Schizosaccharomyces pombe: one gene and its partners. Each later gene encodes a partner of the first gene's protein in a complex. Each region holds a gene or a part of one and is shown in the gene's direction. Other genes may lie near its edges. The genes, in order: rsm19, nam9, rsm7 and snr1.

Evidence for each region.
Region 2: rsm19 (region 1) and nam9 share a complex: the UniProt entries of both Schizosaccharomyces pombe proteins name them as parts of the mitochondrial small ribosomal subunit.
Region 3: rsm19 (region 1) and rsm7 share a complex: the UniProt entries of both Schizosaccharomyces pombe proteins name them as parts of the mitochondrial small ribosomal subunit.
Region 4: rsm19 (region 1) and snr1 share a complex: the UniProt entries of both Schizosaccharomyces pombe proteins name them as parts of the mitochondrial small ribosomal subunit.

What each region holds. Positions count from the first base shown.
Region 1 is NC_003424.3:384,326-387,793, reverse strand, and holds rsm19 (mitochondrial 37S ribosomal protein uS19m), read left to right. Parts: upstream 1-1,623; 5' UTR 1,624-1,644; coding exon 1,645-1,687; exon of another isoform or gene 1,688-1,750; coding exon 1,751-1,856; exon of another isoform or gene 1,857-1,906; coding exon 1,907-2,039; 3' UTR 2,040-2,573; coding exon of another isoform or gene 2,574-2,669; 3' UTR 2,670-2,733; coding exon of another isoform or gene 2,734-2,808; 3' UTR 2,809-2,908; downstream 2,909-3,468. Other genes in the region: tif313 (translation initiation factor eIF3m), read right to left, coding at 8-1,008, 1,180-1,336, 1,400-1,450; pre-ribosomal protein Loc1, read right to left, coding at 2,574-2,669, 2,734-2,808, 3,204-3,314, 3,445-3,468. UniProt on the Schizosaccharomyces pombe protein: Component of the mitochondrial ribosome (mitoribosome), a dedicated translation machinery responsible for the synthesis of mitochondrial genome-encoded proteins, including at least some of the essential transmembrane subunits of the mitochondrial respiratory chain.
Region 2 is NC_003423.3:3,727,636-3,731,265, reverse strand, and holds nam9 (mitochondrial 37S ribosomal protein uS4m), read left to right. Parts: upstream 1-1,916; 5' UTR 1,917-1,977; coding exon 1,978-2,013; intron 2,014-2,066; coding exon 2,067-3,014; 3' UTR 3,015-3,071; downstream 3,072-3,630. Other genes in the region: mpg2 (mannose-1-phosphate guanyltransferase), read right to left, coding at 42-1,205, 1,306-1,345, 1,409-1,449; rns1 (putative RNA-binding protein), read left to right, coding at 3,198-3,389, 3,456-3,561, 3,609-3,630. UniProt on the Schizosaccharomyces pombe protein: Component of the mitochondrial ribosome (mitoribosome), a dedicated translation machinery responsible for the synthesis of mitochondrial genome-encoded proteins, including at least some of the essential transmembrane subunits of the mitochondrial respiratory chain.
Region 3 is NC_003424.3:3,518,200-3,521,419, reverse strand, and holds rsm7 (mitochondrial 37S ribosomal protein uS7m), read left to right. Parts: upstream 1-1,578; 5' UTR 1,579-1,659; coding exon 1,660-2,193; intron 2,194-2,280; coding exon 2,281-2,526; 3' UTR 2,527-2,706; downstream 2,707-3,220. Other genes in the region: transcription factor TFIIH complex subunit Tfb1, read left to right, coding at 1-156, 214-757, 801-878; RhoGEF Scd1, read right to left, coding at 2,894-3,220. UniProt on the Schizosaccharomyces pombe protein: Component of the mitochondrial ribosome (mitoribosome), a dedicated translation machinery responsible for the synthesis of mitochondrial genome-encoded proteins, including at least some of the essential transmembrane subunits of the mitochondrial respiratory chain.
Region 4 is NC_003423.3:2,979,188-2,982,950, forward strand, and holds snr1 (mitochondrial 37S ribosomal protein mS47 ), read left to right. Parts: upstream 1-1,814; 5' UTR 1,815-1,874; coding exon 1,875-3,164; 3' UTR 3,165-3,253; downstream 3,254-3,763. Other genes in the region: mmp1 (endopeptidase catalytic subunit), read right to left, coding at 1-111, 155-282; yml6 (mitochondrial 54S ribosomal protein uL4m), read right to left, coding at 474-1,259; fib1 (fibrillarin, rRNA and histone methyltransferase), read right to left, coding at 3,577-3,763. UniProt on the Schizosaccharomyces pombe protein: Component of the mitochondrial ribosome (mitoribosome), a dedicated translation machinery responsible for the synthesis of mitochondrial genome-encoded proteins, including at least some of the essential transmembrane subunits of the mitochondrial respiratory chain.

The sequences.
Region 1 (3,468 bases):
TAATGAACTATTCAGAGGCTGTGACCGCGGATCCGTCTCTATTTCCCTTTTTGCTAGAGGCTATAGTAAAGCTAGATAAAGGTTGCTCCATTACTTGTAGCATGTAACGTAAACTTGAACCCCATTTAGCTAATTTTTCGTGTAAAGCAACCCATTCGTGCTTACCAAAGACACGATAGCTGCTACGGTGAATGGATAACGTTTTAGTCAACTGAGACATGCGGCCTTCAACAAGTCCAGCACGAATAACATCAATGATCCATAATTCTACTTCATTTTCATCAATCTTCAAACTCTTGGCTACATCACCATAGGATAATGTATTATTGGGAGCCTGGGTAGCTAATGAAGCAATAGTTAAAAGTTTCATCTTACGTGCAATTGCATCTTCATCAAATTTTTGGTGTTGGCAATGAGCATGGTTTTCGGCAACCCAACTTACATAATCGTCGGTCATCCCGCCGGACAAAATACCAAGTAACTGTAAAGTACTTTGTTCAAGCTGCTGAACGGGTGGAAGGGTGACAATATCATCAAAGAAAAAGTACTTAGGGCTGTTAACAGCGCGTTGAACTAATTCGCGAACCGCCTCGTCAGCAGTTGAGTTGTCCATTTTTACGGCTTCCAAAAGGAAAGCAAATGATTGCTCATCATCGTATGATTGAATAGCTTTAGAAACAAAAATATTAAATGCCCGATGGTCCGATACACTGACACCAGCTTCTTTAAGCCAGTCAGGGAAGTATTTCAAATTAGGTGCAAGAGTGCTAAACAAGGAATAACGGGTAGTGAGAGTAACAACACTAGTAAGAATGCTTAAACGTGCGTGTTGACGTTCTTTGACGGCCGTATTAAATAAAATGCTTAAGACACTGAGTATGGCAGGAGTGAGATTGTTGTTTTGATCGGCAATCTGCTCTAAGGCTTGGCAAAATTTAGAAACATGATCTTCGAAAGCAGCAGATTCTTGGATAAGATTAATAAAGACGGCTAAAATAGGCTCGAGTTCTGTTTCGTGTTAGTAATAGCATGGAAGAGAAAATAAGCGAAAACTTGGAAAGCTGCAAACCAAACACATCAGCTCATAGTATACTTTCAGAACTAACAATATAACAAATGCCCTTTAGCACTTATTAAAATAATTCTTTAATTTCCTAGCCTAAAACTATTTTGCATTACCTTTCTCAGGTGCTTGTGCCAACAATGGCAAGCGAGTCAGAAACAGATTAAGAACTTCTTTAACATTTTCAGAAGCCAAATATTCTCGGCAAAGAGCAAGTACATTTTTATCGGTATTAGCCTCAAGATTATCCAAATACATAGCCAATTCTTCCACCTTTTGAAATTTCGTTAGTTGAAAAAAGTTTTACCAAAAATCGCCGAGTCATTAGCGACATACCTGTTCCTCTACGGAAGAGTCAACTACCAAAATAAAATCAGAGCCTTCCATCTCTGTTATTAATACGAATCTAGCAGACGAGAAATGCAAATATTCGCTGTTAGTGGTAGTTGGAGAGTAGGACTTGGCACCTCCACCTCGTTCAATGGTTAAAACGAAGTGGAAGTAACAACACCAGGTTGCTACCTCACATTTATTAACGATTGCTGCATTAGCAATTAACTAGCTTTCTAACATTTCACCTCATGTTTTGGACTAGTGTAGCCAGAGCTCGGTCAGTCTGGAAAGGTAAATGAATATAAATATACTTGTTTTGAAAATAATTTAGAACCTGTTATTCTGACATTATAGGACCCAACGTGGTCGATTTCGGTGTCAACGTTCAGCAATGTATTAAAGGAAACGTTCCTATAAAAACAGCTGTGCGATCTGCAACTATTTTACCTAGAATGGTTGGGTATGATACTCGTATTTAGCAAGTGTGGACGTTAACTAACTAAATTCTAGTGCTCAATTTATGGTTCATAATGGTAAATCATATGCCAATGTAAAAATTACAGAAGATATGATCGGGCATAAATTAGGTGAATTTGCACCTACCAGAAAAGCATTTCATTACAGACAAACTAAAAATCGGTAATTATTTTGGATTCTTGGCGAAAACTGGGCTATATGGCCTATTCAAAACACTTTTCACATGGATTCATAACTACCAAGAATTTCAAGTCTGCCTCAAAATTTCAATTCGTGACTTTAAATGGAGCTACCATATTAGTATTTTGTAGGACATTTCCTGTAAGAAAGCGAATATATAATTCGCCGAATCTTTTCATTACTTTCAGGCTTTTAATGACAGCACTTCTTCCAATGGATGTACTTGCACGTATAAATGTATGTATGAAAAAGTGATATGATGTTGCATAATTTTCTGTCAATGTTTTACAAAAGAATTTTGCATTCCCCTACTTGGATTTTTTATTTTTAAATTTGAAACGCAATGGCTTATGTGTTTAATGTTATTGGTTGTACTTATTTAGTAGTCTGTATAATGAATAATTAACAGCATCGAAAAACCGAATGAACCCGATATCCCAAAAGAAAATGAAAAATTAATAATTGAAAGGCAATACGAAAAAAAGGATCTTTGGAAGTGTCGTTATAACAATTGAATAACTCATTTCTTTTCGTTTTTCCGACCCGTCTTTTTATCAGCTTTGTTATTGCTGATTTTTCTGTCAGATTGTTTAGAAAAGACGGCTTCGCGCTCGTGCTAACGTAAATAGTTAGTAAATTGACTGAAACTTGAAATCAAAATAATTCATGGAAATACTTACAGCCACTTGAAGTTTAGATTTTATTTTATCGTCAAGCTCATAAGTAACTTGATTGAGAATATTTTGAAGGTCATCCTGTAACAGCAATTAGTTAATGAACAATGAATGTGGAAAATGAATAAATAGATGAAGGAATGCCCATCAATTAAAATCAAAAAGTAAAAAAACAAACAAACCAAATCAGATCAAAAATTAGATTACATGACTCAAAAAGCGCAGCAAGTTCACTTAAAACCTTATTTGTCGGATCTGGTGGTAAAGAGGAACGAATGCGGAAGAATAGGGTTCAGGGCCTTGAAAGTTTATAAACAAGATTTGTAGGATTTATATAGAGAGATATTTATCATCGTAACATCTACCACACTGACTTGAGATTTTTGTTGTTTAATGTTTTTGAATATTACTTGTTGAGTAAATGGAAGCATTTTCAACATCTATAATGAAAGAACATGGATGTGAGAATGAATTACCTTAGTTTCAGCAAATATTTTCCCCTTCTTCTTCCCCTTTTTCTGAATCTTAGTTTGGGGATTTTTAGAAGTGTTTAGCTTGGGAAGGTCCAAATCCTCCACGCGAATTTGCTACAAAAAGAAAAAGTTAGAAAAAAGGGTTCGATTTTACCAGTAAAAGTAAACAAAGAAACATTTAAAGAAGAGAAAAGAAACTCCCCTTTTACATGGTTCGTAAATTGTGAAGGAAGAAGGAGCATACATTTTTTGGTTTAGATTTTTTCAC
Region 2 (3,630 bases), on another chromosome or scaffold:
ATAATAAAAAGCAAGTTTGCTGCAAGGTTAAATGTAGTATCTTACATCACAATCTCACCAACCAAACCAACCTTTATTTCTTTATGAGGAAGTACAAGGCAATTTTGAACGCGTACTTCATCATGGACTATACAATCGGCGCCCATAACAGTAATAGCTTGGACTTTAACGCTGTTACGCATAATCGTAGTGGAGTGCTGGCTTGGAAGAGTTGGAGAACCTTCGACTCGAGACCATTTACCAATCTTGCAATGGCGGGAAAGAATGGAATGTAAAACAACAGCATTGGCAGAAATTTCGCAATCCTCTTGAATAATTGAGTTTCGAATACGTGCGCCATCCTCGATGCGAACACGAGCACCAATTGAAACATTGGGTCCAATCTTTGCACCTTTGCTAACAATAGCATTAGGATGAATAAAAACCGGCTGAATGATCTCAGCCTCAGTGTCGGGTTTTGGAAGAGTACCATCATGATATGCCTTTTGTAAATACAAGGAATTAGCAGGAACAGCAGAGCCAGCGGTTTTTATTTGACGCCAGAACTCAGGAGTATTATAAGCATAAATGGCTTTAGAGGAATCTGAGCACAATGGAGCAAGCACATCGGTCTCCAAACTGAGGTAGTCTTCCATTCCTTCATCCAAGGACCTGAGTTGCTTCTCGACCTCCTCAAGTCTACGCTCGTACGCTTTTTTGATTTCATCGAATATAGAGGCATCAAAGATATAAATACCACATGAAATAATATTTGAAAGATAGGAGCTTGGCTTATCAACATAATGAAGTACACGCCCAGTACTTGGTTCCTCTACAAGGCAACCGAAGTTAGAAGCATCTTCTTTACTAACCTTAGTAGCCATTAAAGTAACTAAAGCTTTCTTCTCGTGATGAACGTTTAACAATTCTTGTAAGGGAAAACTGCAACACACATCCGCATGCATAACAAAAACATTAGAAGTATGTCCTTTAAGGATTTGATCACGGAAATGGTATAAGCCGCCACCAGTTCCTAAGCAGTTGTATTCACGGAGATACTTGATACGATTGAAACTGGGGAAATGCGAAGCTACTTCGTTGATAAAATCTTTGAAAACGCTTTCATCGTAGAAACCAACCAAAAAGACATCTTTAACACTTTCAATCTTGGATAAAGCCGCCAAATGATGGTAAATCATTTCTCGTCCTCCAATTTTAAACAAAGGCTAATTTAGTTAGCAAAATAGCTCTTATGTTTCAAATGCAACTAGAAAGTAAAACTGGATTACGTATTTTACCAACATATAAATTCTAAATAAGACGTACTTTAGGGACATCAAACGAAAGAGGGCGGAATCGGGTACCACTGCAAAGTAATTAGTTACTGATATTCACGCGTTTAATAGACTTATTTTTCGTTGGTACGTACCGAGATGGACCCCCGACCAGAATGACAGCAGAGGAAATCATAATAGCAATTTAATACTAAAAAATCAATAATGAGTATCAAAATCACCAAAAACGAAAGAGATATACGCCTCTTGAAACTTGGTGTGTGGTTCTGTGCAAGTCCTGTCCAGCTCTCCTTTGTTTAATAAGGAAGGTAGCGCTATGAGCTAACTTCTGCCAGTTCATATTTGCACTTAATAGCCTGGCTGCAGAAGATAATACTCTATGTAACAATGAAATACTAATGTAAATCAATTTAGTTCAAAAACCCATGATCTAAAAATTGTGCTGCAGGCTGAGGCACTTTGCCAGCCGTGAGGAACTTAATGCTCATCATCAGCTGTTTTGCAGAAAATAGTAAAGCACCTTCTAGCTTTGGTACAAATTATAATGCATTAAAACTTAAATAAATAAAATTTACTAATTGAATTTTCGAGTAAAAGTAGCCTTTTTAAAAATTTGTTCTCTTTAATCACCTTTATGAATTTACCATCAACTTCACGCACTACGCTGGAAGATTGGACTCTCGTGACAAAGACTTAATTGCTCATGAAGGGGAAATTTAGGTTCTCTTTAAAGCGCGGTGTATGTTATATATGAAATTATTGATTTTTTCGCTTTTATTAATACATATCTAGCTTTTGCGTCCGTCGTGGAACAAATACAATATATACAACATTGCAAGAAAACAACTACCTGCTCTGAATAATAGAACTTTATATCAAAAAAAATGGAATGCGAAGAAGGAAACAAGGTCTTATCATGGTCCTCAATTACGCGAATATCAACTGAAAAATGCCTTCCGCCCAAAATTGGAGGGGGTTATTTCTTCCTTAGATAATAAGCTTCCCATCCCTTTTATGAATCAGACTTATGCATTTTTGGAATCCCGTTTAGACATGTCTATTCATCGAGCGTTATTTGCGTCTAGCGCTTTACAGGCTCGCCAACTGGTGCTTCATGGAAAAGTGCACGTAAACGGAAAACCTGAACGCCGTGCCTATCGTCAACTCTTACCTGGTGATTTAGTAACTGTTGATCAAAAATCAGTAATGAATTGTGTTTCTGCCTCTAGTAACAATACCCCTTCTATACAGGATGGGAAGCAAACTGAACAGGTGTCCTCTAAGGATGGAGAAAATGAAAAAAAAAAGGATAATGATGATGATTTATTTGAACAGACTTCTAATGGAAAGTTGCCCTCTATCAATGAAACAATTTCCAACTTTGTTCCTAAACCGTTTATGTCACTAATGGCATTTATCCCTGCTTATTTAGAAGTTTGCTTCCGCACTTGTTCCTTTGTTTATGTGCGTGATCCAGTTGCTCGTCCTGGCTTAACGGAAGTTCCTTCTCCATTTCCTGAAGACTTGCACGCTTTAGCCTATACATACTATATCAGAAGTCGTAATATGCGGCAAGGAGCAGCTAGATGTCAGGCCAGACGGCTTATTCCGCAGAAAGTACGCGATGCATCATTTTATCAAGGACCTCCTGAATTATATAAAAAACGAAATGTTTCTCCCAAAGAAGCATTCTCTCATCGGTATCCAGTTCGTCAAGGAAAGTTGACGAAACTCGTATAAATCGAATAAATGAACTCCTCTCAAAAGTTTAGTAATAAAATATAAAACATTCTCAATTATGCTTTTTGTAATACTATGTTGATTTCCACTTTTGTTTTCCTGCTCTATGAAGTAACTGCCCTGTCTACTGCTATCCACGTAACCAAATCTTATACACATACAAGAACTGGCACATCTTTTTTCATGTACCAAAAGGAGGCCTTTTATCGTGGACGTAGCTCAACAAGACAATTTAACAATACCCGATCTCCATCTGGACGTTCAGCGTCGCGTTCTTCCAATTTCTCACATCGGTCTAGTAGTCGTGATTCTTTTTCCTCGAATAGATCTTACTCGAGTTCGCTTTCCAGATCTCCAGAAGAACCATTGCGAACAGTACGTTTTCCATGTATAATTAGTTATTTAAGGCATACTAATCGTTTCTAATACGATGCAAAATAGATTCTTGTGGAAAATTTGACGCGTAATGTCACTAAAGAACATATAGCAGAAATATTTGGGATTTATGGACTAATTGATCATATTTTCATGCCAATTTATAAAAAATGTGAGTGAGCTTTTATTTTTTATGAATTACACCCACTAACTTTGCAGCTGAATTGAATAAAGGGTATTG
Region 3 (3,220 bases), 3.1 Mb from region 1:
TGCATCGCACCTCTTTGATTTAGAAGGAAATGATCAAAATGCAAATGTAATAGCAGAACTTAGACCTGATATCACTATGCGAATTGACAAAGAAGCTCTACCGTTTATGAAAAACATCAATCAGCTTTCGGAAAGACTTTTGGAAAAAAGTTTGGGGTATGTATATTCGGTTTTATTAATTGTTATTGCTTCGGTATGCCTAACAACTTGTAGAAACTCTAAACGATTTAACAACGAAAATGAAGAAACATACTTAAAAGAATCTGGTTTTCACGATTTAGAAGAAGAAGCCAGTGACTCTAAAGTTGTCTTAAAAATCAAAGGTCAAGATCAGTTATTGGAAAATAATTTTGTCCCCTCAAAAAATCAAGTTGGTTTAGAGCCTTTGCCTTCATTGGAAGCTCTTCAACATTTATACCAGGAAGATTCGATAAGCTTAAATCACATTGAACATGATTCTGACTCTTTGGCTGAAGCCGCTATGCAGCTTACTCAGAGTATGCGCGAAAAGCATGAGTTTGAGACCCACGGCACTGCATCAAATTTACCTATTGACATAAAAAATGAAATTGTTTTGTGCCATACCGTTACGATAGAATTTTTGCATCAATTTTGGAATGCCTTGTTGAATACAACTTTCCCGGACAAGAAGGCGATGGCCCCCCTTCAGAATGCTCTGTTAAATTCGAAAAAAAGGGTGGAGGCAATTGCGAGCCAGGCTCAGGAACAAAACGTTGATCCAAAACTGGTTTATGAGGTAAGTTTTTTTTGTAGAGATTTTGATTATTAACTAGGATTAGTTGGTATCCTGTACGCTCACTTCTATTGATACGTCAATCTCGGAGTATCAAAGACGAATGTCTTATCCTCCTGCTTAGGTTTGATAATGTCTTTGGAAACTCAATTGTGCTTGTAAAAGGTAATTGTTTCTGTTTTTCCATATAGAGGTTAATGATATATTGATATATTCTTTATTGGACTTAATGTTCTTTCTTCATAAAGGCTGGAAAAAATGAACATTGAAATGCTGGATATGGCTCTTTTTCTGTTTATACAACTCTTGAATTAAAAAACTTTTGTTTTGGTTTATAGATTCAAAAGACAATCAAAACTGTTTTTAGATTACTGTGCTCATAGGCCAAAATCTAATGTTTTTATGTCTTTATAGATTTTATTATTTATTAAAATTCGTTTTATGACACGAATATAGTATGTTATAAACTGATGTTCAATTAATTAATGTCCCATAATTTCTCTCTTTTGTTTTAAATGCTTGTTTTTACAATTTTTCAATTTATCGCTTCTCTGTATATTATATATAACTTTTTTTTTTACTTTCTTTCAAGGTATCAGTTCTGTATGATCCCAATAAAACTGTGTCTAGCTCAAGTATTAAATTTGGATACACAATTAATGATGAATATTTTAACATCGATTACCTAATTTATCTTATTTCAAGTTAATAAATAAATAGCCAAACGACTTTGAAATGTAGCACGCTAGCGCCTAGTTCCCTTCCCTTTTCTTTCATTTATCCATAGTGTATATGTACTAAGCTTAAACATCTACGCACACCTTAGCTTTCCTACATGCTTTGATTAATAAGAGTAATTGTTTTAAAAATTTCATTCAAGAAGAAAGAACAAACAATAAAGGGCCATGCTACGACTCATAAAGCAACCTTTGTTTCGATGTGCGAGTTCGGGACATTTGATGAAAGAGTCGCTTGTTTTTATCCATCAGACTCGTACTTTTCAAGTTGGAAAATTTACCTCAAATGAAAAATATAATGAAAAAATTGAAGATATCAATGAACGTTCAAATCCACAATGGGATAATGCGGGACTCGAAAATTTACTGAATCAACTTCAAGATTCTGTCGAACAGTCTGCCTCCGACGATTTTATGGGTGAATTAGAGAAAAAAATTGAAGTTGAAAATGAAGAACCGCCGCTAATGGGTACAAATCTGTGGCCTTCTCCGTCAAGTTCAATTGTAGGGTTAATAGATCGACCATTTCAGGTCGACTCTACAGTACAGCATTTGGTGAATTTAATAATGCGAGATGGGAAAAAAGCTAAAGCTGAAAAGATTGTTGCAACAGCGCTCTCTATCATACAAAAAGAAACCGGTGAAAATCCTATAGATGTTTTGAAACAAGCAATCGCTGAGATTTCTCCCTTAATGAAGTTGGTACGTCGAAATTATTGAAAATTTTGGAATTTTTTGTGAATTATTTCTTTTTATAGTGTGTAGACGGATTTGCTAATATTTTGATAGGTTTCTGCAAAGCGATTTAACAAAAGTGTCGAATTTCCTATGCCATTGAAAGAGCGACAGCGAAGAAGGATTGCGTTACAATGGATCCTCGGTGAATGTAAATCATCAAGTCCTAAAAGATTATCAGATCGTATTGTTAAAGAAATCATTGCTATCAGGAGCAAGACAAGCAATTGTTTCAAAAAGAAAGATCATCTGCACAGAATGTGCCTTGTTAACAGAGGTAATGCACCCGTTCGTATATAAAAACAAAAATTCCGTACATTTTTATCTTTTTTATGAATTGCATTCCCTTTTAGTAATGTTATTTTTGTCTAGTATATCGAGAATTGATTACTCTTAGTTATCAACTCAATTATACTACGTAGTGCGCAGTTAATCATATTCATGTTTATGAGGTTATAGTTTGGTTGTAAAATAACTTTCATAATATTCATCAACATTCTTCTACAGCTCCTTTTCAGTTAACGGAAATGCTACAGAATTTATCTTCTATGAAGTATATTGTTGTTTTTTCAAAACAAAGAAGGGAAAGTAAATTAGTTCATCGACTAAACTGTTAATTTCCTCTATATAAATTAAATTGACAATGTACAGCTAGCACAATGCTAGTTTAGAAATAAACAACAACGTGCAAAGACACAGTATCCATTCCTTTATTATGGACAGGATCCATAAGTTCAAACGTGCACGTTTCAAATGCCATTAAAACGTCTTCATCGGATGTGATGGTTATAAAATCGCCATCCTCATCAACATACTTCAGTCTAACCCGAAAAGGAACAGCTTGTTTCAAAATCCCACAAAGCTTTATTTTATGTTCTACCTTGGCTAACAGCTCATCAAATGTTATATCATGAGCAACAACCAGGACGAGACTAACCTCATGTAAACGGAGACGAATTTTAACATTCGTGGTATTTCGAACTGATAGGGAGGT
Region 4 (3,763 bases), on another chromosome or scaffold:
TTGCACACGTGTTGCTTTGAATCGGAAGGTTTTGCCGAAACAACAACATCTCCTACAGAACATGAACGAGCAAACCTACCATGCAATTTATCTAACAAAACGAATTCACCACTTTTTAAGTTAGAACCATAAATACAAAGCGTTATTTCAATACCCAGAATTTAATGTTGGCATCATACTTGGACCCGATGTCATTTGCACTTGAAAAAGATACTCATGAATTTGATGCACAAATGCAGCAATCTGAACGACGGCAATAGGAATACGGAACATGCCAGCCATTGTTAACCAAGAGGTAACTAATCAAGACAGTAAACTAAATAAGCCGAAATTAAAAAATTTAAACACGACAAGAGAAAGGATTGAAAAAAGAATTAATGATTGTGGATTATAATGTTTCCGTAACTACCAAAATCGGAAAATGTAGATTCATGAAATTCAAAAACAATTGAAAGATATGCGTTTATTTCATATCATAGAGATAAAGACGGTTCAGGTTTTGATTTCGTAAAAGAACTACTATTTGCATCAACATAAGCAGTCAGGGAAGCAGGTTGATCCATATCACTTAGTGTATTTCGTTGAGCAAACTTCTCTACAATTAACGACATGGCTTCAGAATCAATAAATAGTTTACCGAATTTTAGTGCATCTCGAACCTGAAACTCACCAACAGGAATAAAGGAGCAATGGTAGCCTAACTGTCTAGATGCAAGCAATAAATTATTATTTTTAAGGGACTCATCTTCAAAGTAATTATCGTTAAGGACAAAAAGTGCCTTCCCGTACTCGTGTCCTAACTTGTGTTGCTTCAAAACTTCAAGCAAAATCCGTGTTTTTGGTTGACTTAAGTTGATGGGATTTTCAAGGATGGTCAGTTCATTATTAATAAATCTTGTACTTAGCGCAATCCTCATTGCTAAATTATAAACTTGGGTTTGTAATTTTGTACTGAAATCTCTAGGCTTAGGACCATGTGATTTAGCACCACCTCTTCTTATAGGACTTGAGGCATCGCCTACCCGTGCATGTCCTGTACCTTTTTGTCGATAAAGTTTTCGACCGGAACAAGTAATTTCATTTCGGCGCTTTGAGCTAGCAGTGCCTTGACGGTCATTATCTGCTTCATAAATAACGGCACGATGCAAAATATCTCGACGAAATCTTTCTTGCAGGAAACTTCCGGGAATAAGAAAAAGACTCGCGGGCTCCAACGACGGAAATTTATATCGCACCAAGTGCAACATTTTTGCTGTCATTCTGATTAGTTTGTGAAATGGACGACTAGTACCTGAAGAATGGATGTATTTTACTTTCAATTAGTCTAACACAATGTACTAAGTATCACAATGCATTTCATTATAACATATTGTGCATTCAAAAGTATCGTAAAGCGTAAAGTATCGAGTTCATTAAATTACGTTGTTTTATGCAACAGGAACTTTATGACTGTATACTGTTAGATAAATTAATGATATCTCATTCATTACCTAAAATAGAAGAAATAATTATTTATACTATGTGATGTCGTACATTAAATATTTGGAATTTGCTCATTCTGACACCTTAAATTGTTGTTGCAAATAGCACCTGTGTATTACAATAACAGTTTTGAGTACTCAATGCTATGCAACAAGTGGTTTAAGACTTTTAAAATCGACAAACCCTGAGAAACTAAATTAATACTAAATATAGATTTTTTGAGACAAGTATTTGCCCAGCTAATGCATGGAAACCTACTTTGTTTTACGAATGGTCTTTTGTGATTTGTTATTAGTTCACAATTAAGAACACACTTCGTTATAAAGTAACGTAGAAGAGACGTTAACCGTCTATGCAAAAATAATCGGTGTTATTTAACTTGGTTAGCTTTCATGGGATTGAAATTAAATATCTCTAACGATTTGAAAAAATCTGGATTTATGTTAAGGCAATCCTTACTTAAAACAAGTGTGTCAAATTTCCTTTCTTTGAATGCAAGTAGCACCATGTCTAGAGCGTTTATTCGAAATCCAAAATTTTATAGCACTTCCTCAAATGATACAGTTTTATACGAGAGTAAAAATGGAGCAAGGATATTTACTTTAAACAGGCCAAAAGTATTGAACGCTATCAACGTTGACATGATAGATTCAATCCTACCAAAGCTAGTTTCATTAGAAGAATCAAATCTGGCCAAGGTAATTATTCTTAAAGGAAATGGTCGCTCTTTTAGTTCGGGAGGTGACATTAAAGCTGCAGCACTTTCAATACAAGATGGAAAATTACCTGAAGTTCGCCATGCATTTGCTCAAGAGTATCGATTAAGCCATACGTTAGCTACATACCAGAAACCAGTTGTGGCTTTGATGAATGGCATCACCATGGGAGGTGGATCTGGTTTGGCTATGCATGTTCCTTTCCGTATTGCGTGTGAAGATACGATGTTTGCTATGCCAGAAACCGGAATTGGCTATTTTACTGACGTGGCTGCCAGTTTCTTCTTCAGTAGACTACCAGGATACTTTGGAACTTATCTGGGATTGACATCTCAAATCGTAAAAGGATATGATTGCCTGCGTACTGGAATTGCAACTCATTTCGTTCCGAAGCATATGTTTCCTCATTTGGAGGACAGGCTTGCAGAGTTAAACACGTCTGATATTTCTAAAATCAATAATACAATCCTGGAATTTGCCGAATTTGCTAGCAGTTCACCACCCACTTTTACTCCAGACGTTATGGATGTCATTAATAAATGCTTCTGCAAAAATGATACCGTTGATATTATTCGTGCGTTAAAAGAATATGCTTCAAACACTAGTGCTTTAGCGGAATTTGCAAAATCTACCGTTAAAACATTGTATAGCAAATCTCCGACTTCAATTGCTGTTACCAATCGACTTATTAAGTCTGCTGCTAAGTGGAGTATATCTGAAGCATTTTACTATGATCATATCGTTTCCTATTATATGCTTAAACAGCCTGATTTTGTTGAAGGTGTTAATGCTCAACTTATTACAAAGACCAAAAATCCAAAATGGAGCAAATCCCATGAATATCACTTTAAAGATTTAGAAAACTATTTCAAGTTGCCTTCAGAATACAATAATGGGATATCTTTTGCTGCAAAAGGAAGACGTAAAACTCCCCTTTGGAATTATAAGACTTATCCTTATTTATAATCCCAAAGGTTACATAAATTAAATATTGTTCTTTATGTCTACTAAGTTTTTTCAGTATTATAATAAGATGATTTATTTCAAAGACCCTGTTATGTTTTAGCATGCGATAAAGCACATAACTCTTTTTAGCAGCTAAAAATAATGATAGCCATTTTAAATACTCATACTAAAACTCTTTTTCGGTAGCTGTGCGTACGATAGTTCAAAAAAAAGAATGCTAACGGCATTAATATATATTCCATAATTCCCATATTGGATCAAACAATGAGAAAATAATTGACAAAACTGCCAAACGCATACCCAAAATATATTTTTATTATTCCAATTGCTCACGGCCTTACCATAAGCTTTTCTAGCAAAAAAAATTATATGATAAACTAAAAAAGCATGCACTTATGGCATATATTTCTGTTTACTGATGTCTCAAGTATTTTCCTACGATGATACAGTGATCACGTTCGTAAGGCTCTAAAGTAAGTTGTTCTTGAGGTTTAATCTTTTCCTCTTGCATTTTCTTAACCTCACGAGCAAAAACAACAGCTGCATCAGCGGTAGAATCAATACAAGAAGCCTTAACAGAGATAACAACTCCACCTTCG